4 linked regions of the Drosophila melanogaster genome follow. The gene in region 1 interacts genetically with each later gene. Each region holds a gene or a part of one and is shown on either strand. Other genes may lie near its edges.

Region 1 (4,816 bases):
TGTTTACGAAAACAATATGCTAATCCAATCTTTAATACCCCAGCAACCAGGTTCTGATAAGGCCCCATATCATATATCGTATTTGTATATCGTAAATGGTGTTTTTCATCTTACCATCCGTAGAAAGTTCACCGTATTTGTGTGGCCATTGGAGAGCATGTCCTGGACCTGAAAGCTGTCTCGCAGTTGTTTCCTTTCCAAGTTCAGAAAAGCCTGCAGGCCGAAACTTTGAATGAGCTTATGGGATTGGACTTTGAAGCTTGGGATGTGGTAAGAAGCCAGACTCAAAAGCTATTGACGAAGGGTTCAGAATTGGACCACAATGTGGACTTGAAGGCGGTGTAAGTCGGATTTATTATAATAATTTATTATTCATAGTTAATAATTTATTTATTTATCAGTTCCATTGTGCCACAGTCTGAGATCAAGCTGCACCTGCCTGCACAGATTGGTGACTATACAGACTTTTACTCATCCATCCACCATGCCACCAATGTCGGCATTATGTTCCGTGGACCAGACAATGCTCTGATGCCCAACTGGCGCCATCTGCCGGTGGGCTATCATGGTCGTGCAAGTTCTGTGGTGGTTTCCGGTACTCCCATCCGTCGTCCTCTTGGTCAAACGTTTCCCGATGGAGCAGAGAAGCCCGTCTTTGGCGCCTGCAAGCTTCTGGATTTCGAACTAGAAATGGCTTTCTTTATCGGTGGTAAGGGAAATCAGCTGGGTGAACCCATACGCGTGGATGAGGCCTGGAAGAACGTGTTCGGTTTCACGCTGATGAACGACTGGAGTGCCAGGGATATTCAGAAGTGGGAATATGTGCCACTGGGCCCCTTCACCGCAAAGAATCTGGGAACCACCATCTCCCCTTGGGTAGTGCCCACAGCTGCCCTGAAGCCCTTCGTCTTGGACAACTTTCCTCAGGAACCGGAGGTGCTTCCCTATCTGCGCCAGAACATTCCCTTTAACTTTGATATCAACCTCGAGGTGTCTTTGAAACGTAAGTTGCCGCCTGTTAAAGATTTGTTACGTTAATTCACAAAATTTCCCCTTCTCAGCCGCCGATCAAAACGAAGCGCTTATTTCAAAGTCGAACTTCAAACACCTTTATTGGACTCCACTGCAGCAAATCGCTCATCACACAGTCACCGGTTGTAATCTGCGTCCTGGTGATCTGATGGCCTCCGGAACGATCTCCGGTGAGACTCCAGACTCGTACGGATCACTTTTAGAGCTCTGCTGGAAGGGCACCAAAACATTGGAGCTTCCGGGTGGTAAGACCAGAAAATTCCTCCAGGACTTTGACGAGGTCATCATCCGTGGCCACTGCGAAAAGAACGGACTGCGAATCGGATTCGGGGAGTGTGTGGGTCAGGTGCTGCCTGCCCACCCCGTTCCGCAGTAGGACCACTTATTAACATAAGTAAATGAAATAAATTCTATTCAGTCTTCCTGGATACGTCAATACATTATGATGTTCGGAAAACTTCAACTTTTCGTTCAAAAGCATACTTTTTGGGATAAATGGCCATCCATAGTAGCGTATACGTAATATTTTTTCTCGGTGCACAGTAATAAGCTCAACAAGTGCTCAACTCTTTCGCTCTCTCGCTACGATGCCTTGCTCTCTTTCGTTTACACAACTCTCGCTCCAATCGGAGCCTCTGCCATTCCACGCAGCTTCGTAAATACGCGCACGCCGCTTCTTCTTTGGCTGCAGAGAAGAGCGGAGAGCGCCAATGGGAGCATAGCTGAGCGGAGCAGCAAACCGCATTCATTCCTCGAAAGTCGGCGGGCGAAGGTGGGCGCGCTGCGAAAAGTCAAACGGCAAAACGGCAGAAAGGCAAAACGGCCCGCCTATCGGGCAAACTTGTTTAAAGTGCCATAAAAAAGCCTCTAAAAAGCGTAGAAATAAAAAAAGCTGCCGTGCAGCGCAAAGCAGACGCGACTGGCGCCGGTGCCCCAATAATAAATTTTCCGACGAGTGTGCAACTTCTTTCGGTTATTTAAAACAAAAGAAATAAATAAGTAATACAACTTAAAGTGCAAGTGCAGTGGTTGAATAGCGCCCTGAATTAAGTGTAAGTGCTGCTCGCAAATTGAAATTAAAATTAGTGCAGAATAGTGCAAATGTTTTCCGCAAACAACGCTGAATGTCTTGGAAAAATCAATTTTTTACTCCACTCTGCGCAAGTACACACACACAAATACGCTGACTAGCGAAGGGCAGACGGCGGGTTGGGGTGGGCCACCCACCCTGGCAGAAAACACTCTGTCTGCTCACAGTACACATGCACTGTTAGAAATGTTAATATCTTTTGCACATTATCACATAGTATGCATATGGATGTTCTTTAAAGATATGTATGTAGAACAATTGCGTTCGAGTAGTAGGATCAAGGGGCCATTGAAATTATTCGTATTTTGGATACATTATAAAATAATATACAACCCATTTGTTTACTGTGTGGAATGAAGTCAACAAGAGACCTCCGAATCCATACCCATTCAAATTCCCTTCGCCATTGTTGTTCTTGCTGTCCTCCGCCGACTGCATGCACTTTTGTGTTTTTGCATTGATTTTCCACATCGTTTTTTACACCGACTGTCGCAGTTTGGCCAAATGCATCTGCAGCACGAAGATGTATCCCCCGAATGGCGCGGATGTGTCTGAGGATGGGGACATGGACAAATGCACACGCAGCACGCAAAAAGTTAATCAGGCCCCAAAGAACAACAAAACGGTGGGGCCCAAAACACACTAACAGCGAAGGAGAATGTGAGCCTAAAGACAGTTTTATACCCTGTGATAAAACGAACTATAAACTAACATAGGTTCCTGTGTTACAATGTGATTTTTCTTAATTCATAAGTATTAGGAAAATTTATTGGTGCAAGATTTTAATGCAAGATAGTTTTAGAGCGTGTTGGGTACACCCTGACAAGTGTAGGGTATCGAGCAGTATTTGCAATTAACTGGCGCCGTCGGCTATCGTGCGAGAGCAGCCGGCGGGTTCCGCCTCCTCGCCCGCGGGTCCTCCTTCGGCCCACTCCACGGAGCACTTGGGACAGCGCCAGTTGAACCTGTTTTGGCGCGCCAGAGACACCGCTCTCTAGCTTCTTGAGTTCTCTTCATGTGCGCATTTGCTGAAAGTGGAGAAAGGAGAGGAAACCAGAAGCGAAATGGGAGAAAAGAAAGGCCAGAAATAGCGTCCCTTCGAAATTATAATTGCTCTATAAATTGAACATTATTATAATCATGATACAAGAAATATTGTACGAAAATGGAAAAGGAACAGAAAATATTCTATTCGGAGCTTTTCTTCAACTGGGCTTTATCGCGTTGACGCATCTTCCAAAGTTTTTTCTGGCGGACGAGGTCGACAAGATCAAGTGGTGATTGCGGGACGACTTTCGACATGATAGCATCCAGTTTGGAGTTAATCATGTTAACCAAAAGTCCGACTGCATTGACAACCGACTGCTGATCATTTGGATCCACTTCCAACAAGGCTTCTGGTATTGGTATTTCTTGAGCTGGAGAGTGCTCTGAAGAACCCGATGAAGAGTCAGAGTCCTCGCTTAGATTGGCCTCTAATATGGCTTTCGCTAATTTTTCAGTTATCGAATCCTGTGAGGAACCTGATGATGGGTCGGACTCCTCGTTCTCATCTGAACCATCACAGTAATCTTTCGACACGTCTGATGAATCGGAATCCATTTGCAAACTCTTCTTCGCGTTGGAATCCTCAGTGGTGTCCGAATCCTTATTGCTACGATTTGGGTTCTGCATGAAATGTGGTAAATGGAATATGAATGCACTCAGGACACAATTAACCAACAACATACCATCTTATTCATCTTTCTGAAGAGTTGCAAAATAGTTAAGCACAATGACGAAGCCAATAAAATTCACTGCAATCCAGAAAATGAAGTAAACGAACACAAGTTCTCCACTCATGACATTCGAGTTCAGAATGAAATAGTTAGTTGGATATTCTATGATATCGATTTGACAAGTAACTTACAGCGTGCTGGATAATAAAATTAGCAATCCCACAAAATCGAATCGAATCGTTCTCTGCAAAAATTGCTGAATAATTCTATTAGCTGTTGGTCAGCTGTTTCAGGCAAAAGGAACTGTCAAACATTTTGACAGTTCATCAACCCCTACCAGAGTTGTCACCATCTATGGCGAAATAATCTAGTATTTATTTAATGCTAGATTTTTTGTAAATCAACATATCGCGCTTTTGCTTTCATTCTTGATTCACTTGCATGAATTTCTTGAATGGAAAATGCCATAAACAATAGCCGTAATCGCATGATAAGTCTATCCTGAACTGTCTGATAAATTGCTTATCTTGGCTTAAATTTCATGCCTCGTCACCCACAATTAACCCAAATGCCGCCGATGCAAATTTGTTACCAGCTAGGTATAAACACATTTTTATTTGCCAGTGTGTACATACATATGTATTTATATGTATAAGACAAGCTAACGTATCCTATAATTGGAGCGTAATAACTTTAACCAGCCACATAATTAATGACGGCAAAATTTCTAATCAGCATTCAGGGGGGAAACGAGTGTGAGGTGGAGTGTTTTCAAGAATGCGTGCTTATATACATATGTACATATGTACCTTTCGTTAATGGATGATAAGGGGGATAAATTAAAGGTAGTTCATTCATAGGGGTACACAATTGTGTAAATATATTCTCGCAGTTCCATCTAGATGCTCCACACTGCAATCGAGCCTCAAGTGAAATGATTCCTATTCTGGCGGCGCCTGGTTCCAAATCGGTTCCA
Region 2 (6,789 bases), on another chromosome or scaffold:
GCCGGAAGGAGAGAAACGTGACAGTTCGTCATCACCTGCAGGGTTATCTCATCCGCGAACAGATCCGCGAGCATCTGGAGACCCTCAACTGCTCTGATCTGTTCCAGCAAGCATTGCAATCCGAGGATCATGAGCTGGGCAAGTGGCAGTTGGCTATAGGACAGCATTCCCGTAAACTCCACTGTGTGTTTAAGCCAGACCAACTGACAAGGATCCTGAAGGCAGTGATTCGTCGGACGTACACCCTGGAGAGATCCACCAGGCTGGCTGCGCTTCTCTACCAGCTGTATATCGGCAATCGAGAGTCCTATGCTGCAATGGTCGAAGCCGAGTTGATGCTTTACGAGCGATATAAGAGTGGTGAAAAAAATAGCCAAGAATTCAGCGGATACATGGCTAAACTCTGGCAAAGTATCCAAATTGAGGAGTTCTATCCGGGGTTGGATCAAAACACAAAACAACGACTTGTTGACGCAATTATAGACCTTCTGAAATTCCTCTAAGTCCAACCCATTTATGTGCGAACTTTATTCGGTGATTCGGTTTTGTATATTCGAGTGCTTTAATACTTTGATTTTAAGTGTGTGTTTCTGTTTGTCTAGCTTCTGAGATAATTACATAGGTGAGGGCTTGTGTTCTTTACATTAAAATATCATGTTGTACATAGACTAATAAGTGAGTATTTACTGTGCTTGGGGGTTTAATCTCTACTGATTATTGTTTCATCTATTTATAATTTCTTTCGTTATGGTATTGTGTTGTTTGGTAAATGTTTGAATTGGATTTCATTCGGAATTTGAGCTTTGAGCTTGGCAAACATCGGCACTCGGCCAGGCAAACTATAAACCTATAATCGAACCCTAAACTTCCATTTGAATGTAAGCTAATGAGTGGGGGGCAAGTGTCCCCGAAACTAAGTTAATTCGAGCTAAACGCAAATGTAAATCAGCAACAGCTCGGCCCGAGAGCCAGGCAAAATATCACGTTCCAACTGAAAATCGACCTGGGGATCTTTTGCTTAGATGGCAAACTGTTGGATGAGGCCCGCGATGGGCAGGAGCAGCAGCATCTCCAAAATGGATGCACCTGCTAAGGCTCCGTTGCAGCGATCGGTGAGGCAGTCCTCGCAGAATATCCGCCGCACGTTCTTCTCCGGACTGGTGATGTTGCACAGCTCCACGGGATCTGATTTGTTGGTGTAGTAGCAGAATCGCTTGGTGATCAGCTTGCCATTATCTGGAATTTGTTAAGATTGCTTTCAATGTGTATGCGGAAGTGCCTCGGTCTGATTACTCACTTTCCTCCACGGTCTTGCGGCAAACGGCCCTCTCGTGATCGGAGTTAATGGTGCCGTTGCAGCTCCTTAGCAGATTTATATTCCGCTCCTTGATCAGGTCAGTGGGAATGTTGTCCTCCTGGAAGGTCACGTCGCAGAAGTCCTCCGCCCCAATTGTGTCCGAGCTACAGTGCCAGCACTGCAGGTGATGCTTCTGGTGCTGCTCATTTATGGCTGTAAATAAAGGGGAAGTAACTCCATCAGTTTTGACTTCAGTTGACCTTTCATGGGGTCATATTTTCCACCGAAAAGGAAACTTTGTTTGTGAAACAAATAAACACAAAAGAGGGTGACACAGTTTGGTGTGGCTTTCCTCTGTGGACTCCAGTCCGAGGTTGACATCATCATCTTCATGTGCCGCCCCTTTTGGGTCGCCCACTGCGAAAACGGAGAATGCGTGGGGCCAGTCGATGTGGCGCCTCATTCGAATTTTATTACGTATACGTAACCGAATTCTAGTTGTTAAAGTGCGGGGTAATTCGAAATTTGTGGAGCGGAGAATAAAGAATCTCTTGCTAAGTAGTGAGTGGAAACTGAACCACTACTTTAAATAATAAACTAAATAACTAAGTAAATTGTTCTTTTTGTACCATATATGCACAATGCCTTAGAAAAGTGGTAAGATGAGTCAAGTTTGTATGGTAAAGTACCATAGTTTACCAGTGATATTAGTACTTTTCACATGAAAAAATTAAATGCCAGAGGTATGTGATAGATTTGAAGCACAATGAACGACAAACAAAAAGTTTGTTTAAATGTGTTAAGCTTTTGCAGCCTGGAAGTCATTTTAATATTTTTTCCTTTTGTGAACATATTACTAGTTCGGTTTCTGTTTATTTTTGTTTCATAATAATTTGTTTTTCTTCAGTTCACCGCGTTCATTTCGCACATTAAAATAAATTTTCACACCTTTAACATAAGAATTCATATAACAAACTGTTCGGATGAGTCTCAACTATTTATAGAATTAGACAAATGATTTAATTAGTCCAAGAGCCTAGATGATGTGGGAAATGGGAAGGGAAACTCCTCTAATTGTGTTGATAAGGTTGCGTGATTTGGCGCGACAGTAAATCAAGATCGTCGGTCGTGTCCTTGAAAGAGTTTTGCATGTCCGGCCCTTTGAAAATGCCAGGACATGCCTGTTTACCACAGGAAAAGGCAAACATGCCACGAGTTCAGTTGCTCAACTAGAGCACCTTGAGGGCAAACAGTTTTGAAAGGGGTTTCTTAAAGGAGTGGTGGCTGTCAAATATTGACTATAACATATTTATAATTTTCCTTTCCCAGCTAAATTATAATATTACACTAGAGGTGGCGATATTACGTATACGCTCCGAAGGCTCCAGTTGCAGTGACCTTGGGATGCCAGTTGGTGGAAAAGTTTGGCAGTCTTATATTGACTGGACATATGCAAAATCCATTGCCACACCGTTTGTATTCTTTCGGCTCTTTTGTTCAGGGGTCTTTAGAACAGTTTCAGGTAATTGGCACAGTTCTAAGTTGGTGTAGTGTGGGTAATTGATTGTTTCCCACAGCTACACACAGAAAAAGTTCTTAGGCTTTCTATTCTGTTATCAAGGCTCATAATGGATATTGCAAAAGTTTATATCCTCAGTAAATATCCCTTTAAATAGTCCTAACAATTTTTATTTCCAGTGTCATCCAAGGTCGCCGTCCAATGGTTTTTTATCGCCCACGCTTAACACTCTAAAAGCATTCGCTGAGGTCACGCACATGGCCCGACTTGGTGTGGCTTCTTTTAAAGCAGTTCTGGGGTAATTGAAAGCTGAGACTTGTTTTGAAGGAAGTTGCACTCAACGGCCCTGCCTGGGTTCCTTTGGAAATATTCCGCCCTGAGGACCGACAACTCTGCCTTTGCATCAGCAAAAGCACCCCCATAGAAATGTAGCGCGAGAATAACAAATATAATACGATACGGATCGGATGTGTGTCAGGATAATCTCAACTTCCTGGCCGAAGGTACTCCGAAACTTTTATCTGCCTGCATTATCAGTTGGCGCAAATTACGCAATTCAAGTCGGGAAGCGCAGAGAACTAACCCCCAAACTGGCGGCCAGACTTTGACATAGTTTCCTGCCAAGTGTGGCTAGAGATTTCTGGGGGATGCGGGATGCCAGATGTCGAAGACAGCGGGAAACTGGAGCAGGCGACATCCTGGCGCCACTCTGACATGCGCACTCCCCGAATCTCGTAAACCCAGATTGAAACGCAAGCAAAAATAGAGCAATTAGATAATTGCAGGACACCGGGAATGGCTAATTGAGAGCAACAGGGGGCCGGAGCTGCTGCTTCGATTCACCGCCTAATGACCCAATCACAATGCCCATTTCTCAATCACCCTCATTAAAATCAGGAGCGATTCAAAGGCATTCAACGGGCCATGGAAATGTTGAAAATGCATTCGGCGTTTGGATTCTGTTTGGCAAATCATGTGGGCCGTTCCGAAATGACTGTGGAAATAAATATCGAAATGTCTGGCAGTCGGGCGAATATTTGTATTTATAGGGCATGCAGGTTGCCAATCATTGAAAAGCGTGAAAATTCTCGAAACGCGAATATGCACGTGTATATATAGAAACCGATGTCCATCAAGGAAGCAATGACCCACGAACTTGTTCCATACGCGATGAGGAAATGTGCAGTATATTATGAAAATGGATCAACAGAAATTATTTTACCTAACTTCGGGCATTTACTTACAAATCGGGATAGCTATACAAATTCTCACTTGAAAATAAAGCCTCTTTATTGTATAATTTTAAACTGGCCTAACTGCACGCAACAAATAATAGTGCTCATAATTTTCAAATGTCTTTTCTCTTTCTACACGTGTTCAATGCAAAATATACAAGTGAGCGCTTCTATATTTAAGCCCACATAGCCTCCTATTAATATTTCATTATATTCCACCCATCTTTTATTAATTTGTTTACGACAGATAAAAACAGACCCATCATTTTAAGTGTCGTCCATAAATCCGCTTTCGAATCGCGCGAAACATAAATTGCCAAGTATATTTTATGGATTTCACCTGAAACTTTTTTAGTTGTAAGCCAAATTTTGAGAATTTTTATAAACACCGCAAGGGAAAAGCGCTAAATGGCCGGCGGAAAAACTACATAAACAAATTGCGCGAAAATTGGAAACAAATTTCATTCATGGGCTCTGGGTCTGAAAACCAACACACCCCAAACTTTATGCGGATCCGTGACCTTGTGGGCCAGATGGAATTACAGGTGCACAGAAGAAAATTGCGGTCCAAAATTATGCTGGATTTCGAGTACATTTTGTAATTAAGCATAGTGTTTACTCTTAAAACCACAGAGCTTTTACAATTTTCTCTGTGCACCACGCACATTGGAAAAACTGGATAATTAGACCAACTTCTGGGGGGCTTTATGTTTACAAGGGGACTTAAGAGCGTTTCAGTTTGCCGATCGACACTTTATTATTTTCGACGTTTAACACATCTCACCTGTGATGTGCCAGGCATTGGCCAGCAAGAAGAGACCAGCCAGAAAGGCTTTCATCGGCACCGCTGACATGGCTTCCTTGGAATGTTAATGCGAATCTTTTGGGGGATGCGGAACGCGACTTGGTGGCGCCTCTGCTGGGTGGCGAATACTAGGTCCTCCGAGGGTTGGATGGATGGGCTTCAAATCGCTTCGAGAGTGCGCGCGATGCAGACGGTTGCTCGGCCGAGGAACGACTGTGGATGTTGCCGAGGCTTCTTCGCCAGAGTGCCAAAGTCTTGCTACTGAATGTTGCTGGCAGCGCAGTCGCGTCGCTGCCCGCACTGCAGCTGTTGTTGTTGCCTTGCTTCTGGGGAAACCCTTAGTCGCCACAGCACTTTTTTATTTCCTGCCGTATCAAATGGATGCCCACCAGACAGCCAGCCAGACTCACGCATTCGGCGGCTCTGTTCGTGGCCAGCGTTATGCCTTTTTTTTCGATTTCATTGAGGGCACAGCACACAGTGCAGCTCAATTGATGACGTTTCTTTTGGCAGCGTGTGGCTTGCTCGTTGTTTGCTGGGAAAACAAGCAACGTAAACAGGCTTAGATGGTTGTGCGTCTTTATTTATAAGTATCCGGATGTAATGTAATTAAATTACTATAACTTGTATATAAAAGTGGAAATTTTAAACATATATATTAATACCTACCATAAGCATATATCAAATACAAATAAAATATACATAGAAGATACTAGCATTGTGCATAATTTTGGTAGTTCATAACCAAGCTGACAAGGAATTGTACATCAACAACATTGTTACATCTACGCTCATGTCGGGGTATTGAATTTCAAATTTCATTGGCTACCCCGAAAATGCTCGAAATAGGGTTATGATGCAAGCAAGAAGATTGAACAACCCTTAAAGTAATACTTAAAGTAATTTTATATAATAATAAGAAAAAAGTACTTAGTTTATATACATATGTAGTTTGAAACATTTGAATAGCTGTGATATGAACCAATTGAATGGTGGCATGGTCACCCCAAAACAGAGTGGTTTGCAACTTCGCTAAGCGTTGACACAACGTCAGCCACAAAAAGCTTTTCCTCCCGAATTTTTCATTTGCAAATGGAAAATTTCAGCAGATTACAAGAAGCCTTTTTAATAAACTAAGCCACGATCGGTCAACGACACTGCTAAGGTGATTTAATCCACTCTAAACACTTCCCCCTCATTAGGCAATTGGTACATATATCTAGATCTGAATGCAAACAGCCATCATAAATGGTTAAATCACCAGCAACAAATGATTCATGAGTGCAGGATGCAGTGGCACAAGATTTGGCAAACGCAGCTCGGCGGAATTAGCCAAATTTGGCAACACTCCTACCAAATTGGCGACACACGCACCTGGCAGATATACGATTTCGTATGCAAATCTTGACACTAATCTGCGTCTCAGTTGCTCCTCCTCCCAGTAGTTCCATGCCCAAAAGTTGACAGAGCGTGAAAAGGCGCACGCACCCCCCAGTTCGCCAATGGAATCGGTTGGGTCGGATCGAATCGGATCGGAATGGATCGGGCCAAGAATAGCCGGGGTTAAGGCCTGATCGGTGGAAACCGCATTCGAGTCCACTGACTGCGCATGCGCAGCGATCAACAGCCAACAGCTGCCCTCCGGGGCGTATGCGTAACATTCGATTGTCGATTCTCAATATATTTTCCAAAGCGGCTGCGCCATGATAAATGGCCAGTTTTATTGGAAACTCTGTACGACATTTTCGCCAGCCAACAACACACGCCGAAAGCAGCAACAACAAAAATAAAACTAAAAGCCAAAACAAATAAAAGCCGTGCGACAAGTTTAAATGGCCAAAAGCCTAGCTGCCACCCATTTTATATATTTATTTTGCGTTATTTCACTCGATGTTGTAAGTGTTTTTCTTTTTTATGACAGCCTTCACATTTC
Region 3 (4,727 bases), on another chromosome or scaffold:
GTTGACCAAAATAAATGCCAGTTCTTTTTGCGATGATCAAAGTTCGCTGTCGGTGCAGAAATTGAATTTACTGTCAACAACAGAATAGCCCCGCCCCCCCCTTCCCATCCACCCTCACACAGATCACGATCATGAATGAAGAGGGGGGCTTCCCAGTGTTTTTTTTTTTTTTTTGACCGAACGAGGTGGTTACAAAACATCACACCACTACCGTCAGTCGGTCGGTTTTAGCTTAAAAAACCAGGCGAATTTCAGCAAAGTCGGAGGTCGAAGCCAAAGGCCGAGACGCACTTAAAATTATAATTAAATGCATTCCATTAGGTTGGGCAGACATCAGCTGATACACACGTCTATGTGCGCCAAATAAATATATGCATATGTATGCATGTATTTTTGCTTGTTATATACAACCACACGGAAACGTTGCAAATGCCGAAATTCACATTAAATACAAAAGGGCCAAGCAATCAGAGCAGTCAGTTAGCAGAAGCTAAACAAATAATCGCTTGGTAATCTAATCACTGCAAAAAAGTGACCCAAAACACCACGTGCACTGCAGCTGGTGATCCAATGCAATTGATTATGCAGCGCGTCTGGTTTCAGCCACTTCTTGATAAGGCCCAAAAAAGTGGGGGGGGGGTTGATAATGATAACAATGCCACTGGCAGAAATGGCAAAACAAAAACCTTGTGCGACCGACCATTGTTTATATGAGTTTTCTATTTCGCCTTGCGCTCGCAGAATTCTCAAAATAAACAATCAATTAGGCGCCCATGGAAATAATGAAAATTTCCGAGTGGCGAGTAGCGATGTGTGTTTATATTAAATATAATATGTAAACAGCGATTTTGTTTGGCTCGGTATGTAAGTGCTATCGCCCCTTTTCGGTGAGTAATTCCACTTCCTGTTCTGTTGCAAAAAGTCGTATGATGTTTTTTTAGTCACTCGATCCGGTGGCTTTACACGAATCAAAAGCTTATGATTTGCAACCGAAAAAAAAGGGTTGTAAGATCGATTTCCAATTGCCGCTGCGGCAATCAACTGATAACTAATAGCCAGTGATTTATAATTGCAAATTAATTGCAACTACACATACAGTAAAAGACGTTATCACATGGCCTTGAGTGGAAAAGTTCTGCTGACTCAGGAAGAACTGGCTGTTCAGGTTCACGAAGAAAATGCGAAACTATAGCTATAATATACACATATTTAGAAATGCATATTAAACGGTCGTCTGAGGCGGACTTGTACGTATAATAATCAGTCACAACTTGTTTCGCCATGTAACCTGAAACAAGTTTCCAATCGATTTGCACCGCGTTTTGTGTAACTAAGATGTCGCCAGTCGAAGTGCAAGTGCAATCGGTAGTAGTCTCATTTTCCAGACACAAGTAAACAGTGAAAAGAACTTCGGCACTCAACAAGTGTCCAATGAAATGCCGCCCGCATGAATTAAGATCAATTTCCTTCGCTAATGTTCTTAATAATAATAAACTCAACAATTATGTGGGCAGTGTGTCTGTATTTATCGACTGAAACATGAGATTACCCTGTAATTGTCACGCGGGCGGGGGACTTTCTGATCGCCGATCGCAACTACCATTACCCGCCGTGCTAAGCAGGTCAGGTGCCGCCACCGCCGTGCTCACTCACTCCATTTTATCGCACCTGAGTGCTAGAAATAATATACATATGTTTAGGTTTAGGCGAAATGGGTCTTGATTGATTGCCCACCCAGTGGAAATGTCCCGAGTTTCGGTGCAAAGCGAATCGAATGATAAAATGCTCTGTATGAATATTTTTGGATCGCGTGATTCACTTGTAAGTAGATTAGTCACTAATCAAATTCTCTCGCTCGCAATCTTTATGGTACATTTTGTAAACAATGGGAACGCGACGACTCGCATTGTCGACGATGAGGTATAAATTTCAACTGATTAGGTCACAAGTATTGTTGATTAGCGGCTGCTAATTAATAACATTATGATTTTGTCAGCAGATTTTGTGCAATTTAAATGTTTTTATTATTCTTTTGCCTGATATATAAATGAATACATACTATAAGTGCTTTGGGCTGCCCAATCTTTTGGTCACACAAAAGTTGTGATTTTTACAGCGGTCTATAGCAATCTTCTTCAATAGTGTCAACAAATTTTCCTATCTACTGCGGCAACAAGCCCCCCAAAAAACGTATGGAATCCCATAGGACACCCAAAGAGGTATCACCGGACTCACCTGCGATCGTAAAGCGATCCATGTAGTTGATGAGGTTGACGAAGCATAGCACGGTAACGGTGAACCACTGCGATCTGCCCACGCTGGAGAGACGCGATGGCACGACGGCGGATGGTGGTATGCCCGGGATGTGGTGGTGCTCGCCCAGTGGGTGGTGGTGATGGTGGTGGGGACGCAGTCGGTGCCGCTCCTCCTCCATGCTGTCCGTATCCGAGGGCATCAATTGCTGTGACGAGTAGGTCGTAGGCAGTCCGAGCGGCGATAGATTGGCCACATCCTCACGACTCCCGCCCTCCTCAGAGGAGCTGCTCCCACTGCTACCGCTGCTCTGGATCATCGCCGGATTGTCCATGGCGGCCGCCGTTGGGAGCGGTTGGTAGGATTGCTTCTGGTGTTTCAGCGACATTCACCCGATCACTCGATCCTCTCTTCTCTTCTCGCGCTCTCGCTGTCCTCTTTCGGTTGGAAATTCGCAGCAGGCGGACAACGCGGCAAAAAGTTATTTGCACACGCTCTTTGCTCACGCACACAGAGAAACGGGAACTCGCGATGAAAGCGGTTCAAAAGCGAATGCAAAAGAATTTGCTCTTGGGCTGTTGGCACACCACCGCGCTTCTCTTTTATAACACTTTTGCCAATTTGTATGGCTAATTCGACTGTGTACTGAGACACTTCCTCTAATCGCGGTTGTTCTTTAAATGCAGCCAATGCATTTGCAGTGCTTCTCGCTGTTTTTCTTTCTTGTTTCTTCCGCGACGCGAACACTGTTGCCTTTCCAACTGGAGTAAGTGCAATAAGTGTGACCGTCCGGCGACCGCGAATATATACCAGAATCCAATTGGCGATGACAATTTCGATAGTACTATCGATAAACTAAGACCAGCTGCATATCTATCGACTAATATCGGTATAGCTATGCCTATCGATAAAAAACATTTAAAGCAATTTTTAATAAATATTTTTACATTTAATACAAAAACATGAACAAGAATCTATATTAACAAGCTAAGTTGCGCTCTGTTAATTAAAGAATTTTTATTTTGCCATAATATTCTGAGCATTACAGATAGTGTACCACTTATCTCTAGAAAACTGTTGACAACCGAATTTGAATTCAAATTTAAGCGATGATTTTTTGGTTATGATTGTGATGATTAAAATCTAAGTGCGTTACGAAGGTATATGCGAATGAAAAAGAACGATTTCTATTCAATATCCATATCATCTACGCGCCCGCGAACGCGATTCTTGCGCTTGTGTTTTTTAGTGGGCGGTGGCAGGAAACTCTCAAGAAACTCAATGGTATTCAAAATCGTTTCCGAACTGACGTTTCCAATGTAGTTCTTGTCGAAGTAGACGACCGGTACAGGTGGCTCCGTTGAGAGCAACAATTTGTCACAATTACAACGCTGTCCCTGAATTTTTGCATCGAGCGTTTCCACTTCAACATCTGTGTTATTTGATTTGTCTGGAAAGAGGTGCCTAAATAGGTCAATCTATGTCTGAACTCCATAAAGAGTTGCCACCCACCGAATAAGGGACGAAAGCACTCCTTCACCTGAATCCACTTGGTGCAAAACTGTTTGATGAAACTGTCGTTCTGATTGAAGAAACTGCGAGCTGCATTGTCAACCCGGTATTTCATGAATCCAGGCACATATGGCCATTTGCCCTTCGCGGCATAAAAGCATATGATGTCTGAAATGTAAAAATTTAAGCGATTTGTAATTCTGCTAGCCTTAATAAAAGTATTCATATGCTTGAGGAGATAAAAATTTAAATATTTTAGTTGCTAAAGAAGTTTATTCATTGTTTCCTTGCGACATATGATAAATTGTGAAAAAGTATAGCATACTTTTAGGCTTAGCCGTATTCGTCTCTTAAAATGATTTCAATGCGTTGTGGATGTCTTTTAAACTGAAAAGAACTATTGTAAATTGGGAAGATATCACACAGAAACCTATGTTCTAATCCTTGTTCAAAATACAGAGATCTTGATCTAGAACATTCTAGTTAAATGTGGAAAAACTATGGCCCATTCTTGTATATAACACTTTCGATTGCGAAATAGATTGCTTAACTTACAGGGCACATGGAAGAGATGAAGAAAAGTGCGCTGATGCTCCAGACTGGAGATGAGATGAATACCGCTGGACCGCCGATTGGCCAGGGCCTTTCTTCCGGCAAAGGGAATCTCATCCACGCGGACACTCTTCAGATATGCCTCGCCCATGGTGAATAGAAATATGGCTAAAAATAGGGGCAGAATATGCAGAGCGATTTTCCGACGCAGCTCCATTGTCGAACTTTCCACTAGCCAGCAATAAATGTGACTGACGAATGTCCTGCAGGAATTGTCAGACACCTGAATGATTTCACTGCGCTCTCTATTGATTTTAATTGTGCTCGAGGTTGACATAAATCCAGGCAATAGGGATACATTGCATGTGCTAACCCAATTTGCCAGCCACAAAAAGTTCATTGCACTCAAA
Region 4 (7,569 bases), about 17 Mb from region 1:
GTTATTAATAATAGCCATATAATTAGTTAGAAGTAAGCATACTATCTGTACAGAGATTCCTCATTTTGTTTTATTGAGTTAAGAGCTGGGAACGCAGAAAGTCGCAATGGCGCATTCAGGGCTCAATCCTTCAAGATGATGCTAAAAAAAAAGGGAATTTCGCTATTAAATACAAATTAGTGAAATCACTTCAGCTTTGAAGCCCATTATAAAGGTATCTAAAAGTTCACAATAAGCTAATGAGCACAGACTTATTAGCATATGCATACTTTTGGACACCTTTGTATATGATTTCAAGCCCTTGGTTATTAGTTAGTTAGTTACATTCGTTTCTTTAAAGATTTTCGCTTTCTGCGTAGTTTTTTGTATGTGAATTTGCTCGGTGAGATTTTGTAGTCTTCATCGAATTCCTGTTCGAGTTTTATTAGATTTTGTAGATTCAACTGGCAGTCCTGTCGGGAAATCAAGGCGTATTAGAAGGGAAATTTGTGTGTGTGTGGATGTATGATTTGTGTACCAACCTCTAGGTTCTTGAAGTGCCAGCGAGAGTCGTCGGGGGATCCCCCATCGCTGGTCAGTTCGCTGAGACAGGTGCGCATAGTTGGCCAGCACTGGCAGCGTTTGTTGGTGATCTCGCAGCCCGGCTCCAAAACAATCGAATCGCTGTCGGAACAATTATCGTGCTGACTGTAGGTCAGGGCGGTCAGGTGCTGCAAATCTATTGCAAAAACACAAGCAAAACAAATGCGGTTATTAACACGAAATCGGTGAAAAGGGGAGTATTTCTGGGTCGTATTAATCACACATTAAATGGTAATTAAGCCCCACAATGAACTTTGATTCTTAGTGCATTAAAACAGATTATGGTGGCGTTTATTTTAAATTATGCGAGGCCTATATAAGCCGACCCAAATCTAATTTTTCGCTTTAGTTTGGCATAATGCTGGCCCGGCTTTCGTTTTTCCTGATTTTTCTACCTCTTCAATTGGGACTGGCAAAGGTTTGTTGTATTTGCCCCGCCTAATATTTTAAAAAGAAACTCTACCCGCCAGAACAACTATGACATTGCGATCAAAACACTTGGCTGCCAAATTATAGCCAAGGCATATGTCAATAGCTTGGAATGTCTACTTGTGCGACAAAGGACTGCAGTGGTAGCGGTTAAATTCAGTTTAAATCAAACCATCGAGCACTTCGACGTGCTTGCAACATTTGATTTGATAAAAAAGGATAAAAGCCGCATGAATATAGCCGATATCAAGATAGACGGATGCAAATACTTGGGCTCAATGTACCAAAACAACATCGTTGGCAAATTGTTTAAAAGGCTCAAGTCGGTCAGCAATTTACCAGACAGCTGTCCTGTTTCGAAGGTTAGTGACGTATGCATCCTTAATCTTTCATTGTTCATTTGTTATAGATTTGGAAATATTTTTCGTAATATGTTAAAGAAATATTGGCTTTCCAGTTATATTTACAATTTGAGAACTTCAGCTCTTATCAAAACGATGACAACAAGCCAGGAAAGAAATTTAATGAAATAAGACTTCCGCTTGTTTTTTGGAACTAGTCAAACTTTGCCCCTGCCCTGCACAGCAGAATGAAGACAAATATTTTCCCTTGAGATTCAACTTTCAATAAATAAAAGCAAATATTTGTCAACATTTCGTGTTGTGGCACTCTCGTCGAACGAAACTAGTTAAAATTGAACAACATTCTGCAGTTATTTCATTTACCATTTTCCATTTTCATTGCAAATTGCTGCACAAGCGGGACGCATTAATTCCCCAAACACGATTATACACAAAACCCGAATTGATGCCATCAAATTATGCAGGGAAAACTGTACGAGATCCGCAACTATACATTCATTTCGGACGAATTCCCGCCAGGAGCTCCGCAGGCCAAATGGCAAGTGCGACTGAAATTGCTGAAGCGATCCGAACTGGTTGCGGACATATCAATTGAGGGCGCTGTGGTCTATAATACGTGATGTTAATGCATAATGGATGCGACTAAATACGAATGCTCCATAACCCAACAATAACCAGCTAGCCGGTGCCCCACCCCACATACACCCTTTTTATTATTTTTACAAGTGCTAAATGCACGTTGGAAAAAACTTTTTTTGACCCAGCGATAAATAATATTGTAATATATTAATAGCTTTAAATGTACCAAATAAATACAATATCAATAATAACATCCTTATTATTATATCAAAATCCAATCCACAAGTTTAGAAGAAATTTTAACATGAATAAAAAGTCTTTTATTTGATCAAAGGTGGTATTTCTTAGATATGTATACATAAATTAAAGTACAACGGAATATTCTTCTTTTTTTTTTTTTGAGTGCACATTTGTAGTGTGTACATAAAACTAAGGACTCACCCATGCACACGCCCAATCCGCTGCTAATGGGCAGCTTGGTCACACACTGCAGGGGCGGCTCACATTGACCGGAAAATCCGCCCGGACCGCCGCAGGATTCGCCCAAAGTTTTGGCGCATATGCGGCAACATCTGCGAATAGTTGGAGGTGTGTATATGACATATAGAATAAATAGATGTGGGCATAATCCTCGCAATGGACTATGGATGGAATGAATCCCAGTAGTAATTGATTAGATTCCGTCTTCGATTCGATAAACGTTAACAATTAGTTAACACTCTCTACTCGGAGTGAGATGAGGAGAACGATGCCTGATGTGAATTCCAATCAGTCCATTAGTCCAATCAGTCACTCACGATGCGAATTGGGTTGGAATTCGAAGGAGACACTCTGATGTCTGACGCTCTTAATTATATCAATGCCAATTATTAAGATCGTGGTGAGCTTATGAATTTGTGACCATTTCATGCTTAGTTAGGAAATAGTTAGTAAAAACGTCTCTGCGAATCATTTAAACCAAACAATTTATAATAGGTTAACGATAAATGAGGTACGATTCAAAACAATATCCATATCAAACACGGATCTAATATGGAATGTTATAATTAAAATTATCGCTGTAGTTTCCTATTAACATGTAAACAATTAATAAGTTTAATCAATCATAAAATCATGGGAGTTTAACACAAGTATAATTTGATATATACATGTATACATGTAATAGAAACGTTGATAATCCTGTGGGTAATCATCAAAGCATCAGGATGACACACTATTAAATTGTTTTCTATTGTTTTGACCACCATTGTTCAACCAACGTTAATATAAGGAAATTAAAGCCCGTTCGTGTGTTAGGCAATCAAAACAACAAAGCTTTGTGCACCTAATAAACCTAATTTAGAGTGTGCCAATTTATGTTGGAAACAAAAATATTGGTAAAGGTACAAACCGAAATTTAAAATTAATTTAATTGGTTTGATAACAAGACTATTTCTCGAAACAAAATGGAACACTTTATAAATAATTAAATCATAGAATGATTTTATGATTACTACCGTACAGAAAATTCTATTCCATTATACCAAAAGTCAAAAGATTACCAAATCGAAATGAAAATTTCAAACAGAGTTCTGACCGCTGGAATAAATCCTAATATCAATTTCTTCGTTTGATTCGCATACAAAATGGATGGCATGTACAGGCCGGAAAATATCATTTTAATTGGAGCTCTGGGAGCGGGACTTACTTGCATGGATCCCACAGCATAAGTCCTTTTCCGGGGCAGTCGGGTGAGCGGATCACGTCGCACTCCTTCGGATTGCAATAGCATTTGAGGCCATTTACCACGTGGTTGCTGCCGCCAGATGCTGCCATAACCAGTAGCAGATAGCACCACAAGTAGATGAGCAGCGCGCTCACGTTCAGGCGGCCAAAATAACTTCCGTTCGAGCGCATCCTAAGCGGAAGCTTGGCATTGTTGTGCTGCTGTTTGCCAGCGAGCCCCCTCTTTCGCTCCCCCTGCGACGACCTTGTGCGTACATCCTGCTCCAGGACCACGCCCCTCCGCCCCACGCCTCTGGCACTTCCGCCCATTTATCGAAAGGCAATTTTTATTGCGCCCTGTTGGCTGGCTCTACGGTGCGTTTGCGTTCCACTGCCTCCAATGATGATGATGCTGCTGCTGATGATGAGGATGCCTGGCAAGGATTCTGGCCCTGGATTCGACTGCGGGTCCGGCGCAGGCAATTTGCATGTTGACTGCAAAGAGCAAGAGCGTTCTTAGATGATTAAAATGCCATAAACTGCGGACAGGACCTCTGTGACCCATCCCCAAATAGCTCCAGAATTGGCGTTTTACAATTGAAAATTGTAAAATTGCGGAAATCGCTTGCCGGTCTAATTTCATTAAAATTTCATTGACGCCTGCCTACTTTCGATGGTCATAAATTTGTAAAATGGTTCCGCAATGTGTTTCGCTAAATTGAAATATCCCAAAACGGTGACACTTTATGCGCCAATCAAATTATTCATTAATAACTCTGATGAGCAACATTTTATTTAAAACCCAATTTATTCCATTTCTTTTTTTTAGTTATAAAAAAATGTAATTTTTCACAAAGGAGTTTGTATTTAAGTTTTCGAGCGTTGGAATAAATAAAATATTAAATTAAGTTCATAGCTTTCTACCAATTTCGTGTTGGGCCATAAATTAGCAATTAGTGGCTTACAAAACTTTCAGATGAAATAAAGCGAAAGTGGAGTTTTGACAGACACAATGTACATGTATAAAAAAACATATCTAATATTAAACTTTTTAAGGCATTGAATTAAATAAAAAATATTAACTAATTAATTAACCTTAGTGGTTGCGAGATAATCCTTATTGCATTTTTATCGCATTGTAACTTATTTAAATTAAAACGGATTCGCAGAAGCAAATTAATTGACTTTTACATACAAACAGCATTTAGCCATCTCTTAGATTAGTGAATTAAAGCCTTTTTGATGTCAGAAAAACATTGTTCATCAAAAAATATGTAAAGGTCAATGTATTGCTTCCTTTCCACAGAAAATGTATTTTAATTGACTGTGAAAACTTTTACAGAAACTTAATCAGATTCAAATTAAAAAGTCATTTTTGAAAGCAAGCTCGACGTATTTGTCCATCAGTTTGAAAAAGTTTCCGCAACCGTTGCTCCCAATTAAAGTTTTCCCATTCAACTTGATGACACCATCGACATTTTTTTAATCAATGTCTGCTCAAGCTGGCTTCAAATCGCACTTCGACGACTTCGCTGGCTTAATTAACCAAAACGGGCCAAAATCAGAGCCTGGAAAATGAACTCTCTGCCCATACACCACAAAAAAAATAAAACAAAAACAAAAAAAAGAAAAAGAAAAATACATCGAAACAGAAAACAGAACTTCGGGAATTAATTTCAACGAAACCCGAAAAAGTATGCCACATGCCAAAAAGTTGTTGAAAATTTAACACAGAAAGAGACGGAACGACGCGTGTGCGAAAGAGACAGCATGAGGGGGAAATCGAATTTGTTGGAACACATGCCATACTAATTTGTATTTAAACGTTTGATGTTCTGTGACTACTCCCACTCACTATGAAACAGAAGAGTCCAGGCTTACAACATATTTTCGGAATTGTTGCTCACTTTATTTGCTGGGAAATCAATGGAAAAATAATAGGCTTTCGGCAATTGCAACTTGCTTTTTGATCGCTGTTTTGTGTATTTTCTCTATTTTTCGGATGAGTATTGCTTTCACTTTGCCTTGGCCGAAAGGACACTCGAAGCTATTGCCTTGGCTGTTGTTTTTCCAGTTGCCTGTCAACCACTTTCAATTTGGCATTCAATTGTTGTTGTGTTTTTTTTTAACAACGCCACTGACACAGTCACAAATCCTCCACACACACTGCACACTCACACACACAGAAGCACACCTCGTTACACCTAACGATAGACGTTTAGGACTAGCACTCGATATACTATATTCGCTATAGTAGTGCCGTGGTCCTTGTTGTTGTCGCTATCCTGACGCTAAACTTTCGGTTCCGACGGTTCCCAATGAATTTTTCATGCGCTTTTGTCTGCCGCACGCGGCCATTTAAGGCAAGAGACTGAACTAACCTGCTGCCGCCGTCGCTGCACAGACCATTTGCCAGTCAGAACGGACATATATCGCTCCGATTTCGGGATATTCCAGTGTTTTTGTTCTTGTTTCTGGTGTCCCACAGAAGAATATCCCACTATTTCCTCTCACCACGCAGGCGCTCTCGCTGTTGAGCCTGGAAGGCAGAGTCATCAGACGCAACCCGCGAAGGACCCTCGTAGTACTTCTGAAATTCGGGTTTACACGGTGGCAATTTTCGAAATGATGCCGTAAGGAGGGTATGAGAAAAATTTCCCATTTTTATTTTGAACGGTAATCTTAAGTCTTAGTCCCTATCATATGTTTATAGATGCAACCGAATATTAAGTTCTCGTAAAAATATATCATTATTTTGGGTTTTTTTTTTTAACTTTTTTATGGAAGTAAATATTTTATATTTATATTTTATATCTGGCTAGATATAATTTGTTAGACAGTCCTATGACATGGATTAATTTGAATTAAATTTTAAATTTAAATAGTTAATTACCCGAAATTAAAATCACAACTTCCGGCGCCGCATAAACACCGCGTTAGCGAAGAGCTCTTGATGATAATGGCGCGACGAGAGCAAACAGCGGATGCAGAAACATCCTTCAAAATATAAAGTCATTTTTGTTTATTATAATTACAAATAAAGAGCAGGATGCAGGGGCTTAAGACTAAGCTGATTTCGGGAAGGGCATAGCCGAGATTCTCTGACAGGGCCTATCGCGAAAGCGGGCTAATGGCCAATTTAAAAGTATGAAAGTCAGGTCGTTTGTCTTGTGATTATTTTGTATACGTATTTTTGAAGCTGCTCGCAGTTTAGGCCGCAACTTTGATGATGAGACAGCCGCAGCCGTGTCAGCTGCTAATAAGCATCGCTCTAAGCAATTTGCCTCCAATAAAAGCCACACACCGCACGGGCCTATCGAGTAAAGTCCGCCCCCTGCCATTTAGCCCCCCTTACTGGTAAAAAGCAAGGCAAAAAACTTGCAACTTTTCCAATTAGCGTAAAACAGACGTTTGAGTCTAAAAGAACACGAGAGAGTTCAAGTCCGAGCTCCAGAGATGTGGGTGCCCACGTACGCCCACCGCCACCCCACCAAAATTTCCACCGAAGATGCGTCCGATGCCACAGTAAATGTTGCGTAAAACAACTGTGGACCGGGGCTGCCGAATATACCCATCCCCGAAGCCCCCACTGAGTATCCACCCAACACCCCTCCGATTTACAATTGAGCAAAAGAGCAATCGGGAATTATGAGCGGGCAAACTTTTTCAACAGCAATAATGGAACGTAAAGAAAACGCTCAACCCACCAAATGTAAAAAATGGTGAAAAAAACAACTGAAACGAAAATATGAAAAAATCGGTGCAGTGTGGAAAAAATTGGTAATCAATGCGGCATTCCAGTGGGAATCAAAACATTCGGTTAAGATAAAAAAGATATATGCATATATTTTAAAACAACATGTTGACAGCCCATAAAAAGTTCCTCTTCATAATTTTTAAATGGAATAGAGTT

Evidence for each region.
Region 2: of wit (region 1) and twit, changing one enhances a phenotype caused by changing the other (phenotypic enhancement), as found in Drosophila melanogaster (one study listed by BioGRID).
Region 3: of wit (region 1) and spin, changing one suppresses a phenotype caused by changing the other (phenotypic suppression), as found in Drosophila melanogaster (one study listed by BioGRID).
Region 4: of wit (region 1) and cmpy, changing one suppresses a phenotype caused by changing the other (phenotypic suppression), as found in Drosophila melanogaster (one study listed by BioGRID).

Annotation. Positions count from the first base shown.
Region 1 is NT_037436.4:4,068,677-4,073,492, reverse strand, and holds the start of wit (wishful thinking), read left to right. Parts: upstream 1-1,775; 5' UTR 1,776-2,084; intron 2,085-3,211; exon of another isoform or gene 3,212-3,310; coding exon of another isoform or gene 3,311-3,790; intron 3,791-3,852; coding exon of another isoform or gene 3,853-3,864; exon of another isoform or gene 3,865-4,004; intron 4,005-4,031; exon of another isoform or gene 4,032-4,124; intron 4,125-4,816. Other genes in the region: Faa (fumarylacetoacetase), read left to right, coding at 124-341, 402-1,003, 1,062-1,408; CG32259 (uncharacterized protein), read right to left, coding at 3,311-3,790, 3,853-3,864.
Region 2 is NT_033779.5:20,850,865-20,857,653, reverse strand, and holds twit (target of wit), read right to left. Parts: upstream 5,077-6,789; 5' UTR 4,906-5,076; coding exon 4,836-4,905; intron 1,511-4,835; coding exon 1,298-1,510; intron 1,237-1,297; coding exon 1,019-1,236; 3' UTR 541-1,018; downstream 1-540. Other genes in the region: CG14400 (uncharacterized protein), read left to right, coding at 1-503.
Region 3 is NT_033778.4:16,123,291-16,128,017, reverse strand, and holds the start of spin (spinster), read right to left. Parts: upstream 3,038-4,727; 5' UTR 2,642-3,037; coding exon 2,236-2,641; intron 1-2,235. Other genes in the region: CG30095 (uncharacterized protein), read right to left, coding at 3,441-3,703, 3,766-3,933, 4,321-4,534. UniProt on the Drosophila melanogaster protein: Probable sphingolipid transporter that plays a central role in endosomes and/or lysosomes storage. Involved in TGF-beta-mediated synaptic growth regulation both pre- and postsynaptically via its function in endosomal storage regulation.
Region 4 is NT_037436.4:20,713,160-20,720,728, forward strand, and holds the start of cmpy (crimpy), read right to left. Parts: upstream 6,042-7,569; 5' UTR 5,835-6,041; intron 4,152-5,834; 5' UTR 3,987-4,151; coding exon 3,640-3,986; coding exon of another isoform or gene 3,636-3,639; exon of another isoform or gene 2,525-3,635; coding exon 2,394-2,524; intron 2,000-2,393; exon of another isoform or gene 1,994-1,999; coding exon of another isoform or gene 1,838-1,993; intron 1,374-1,837; coding exon of another isoform or gene 1,053-1,373; intron 1,001-1,052; coding exon of another isoform or gene 941-1,000; intron 719-940; coding exon 522-718; intron 453-521; coding exon 325-452; intron 142-324; coding exon 123-141; 3' UTR 1-122. Other genes in the region: CG34260 (uncharacterized protein), read left to right, coding at 941-1,000, 1,053-1,373, 1,838-1,993.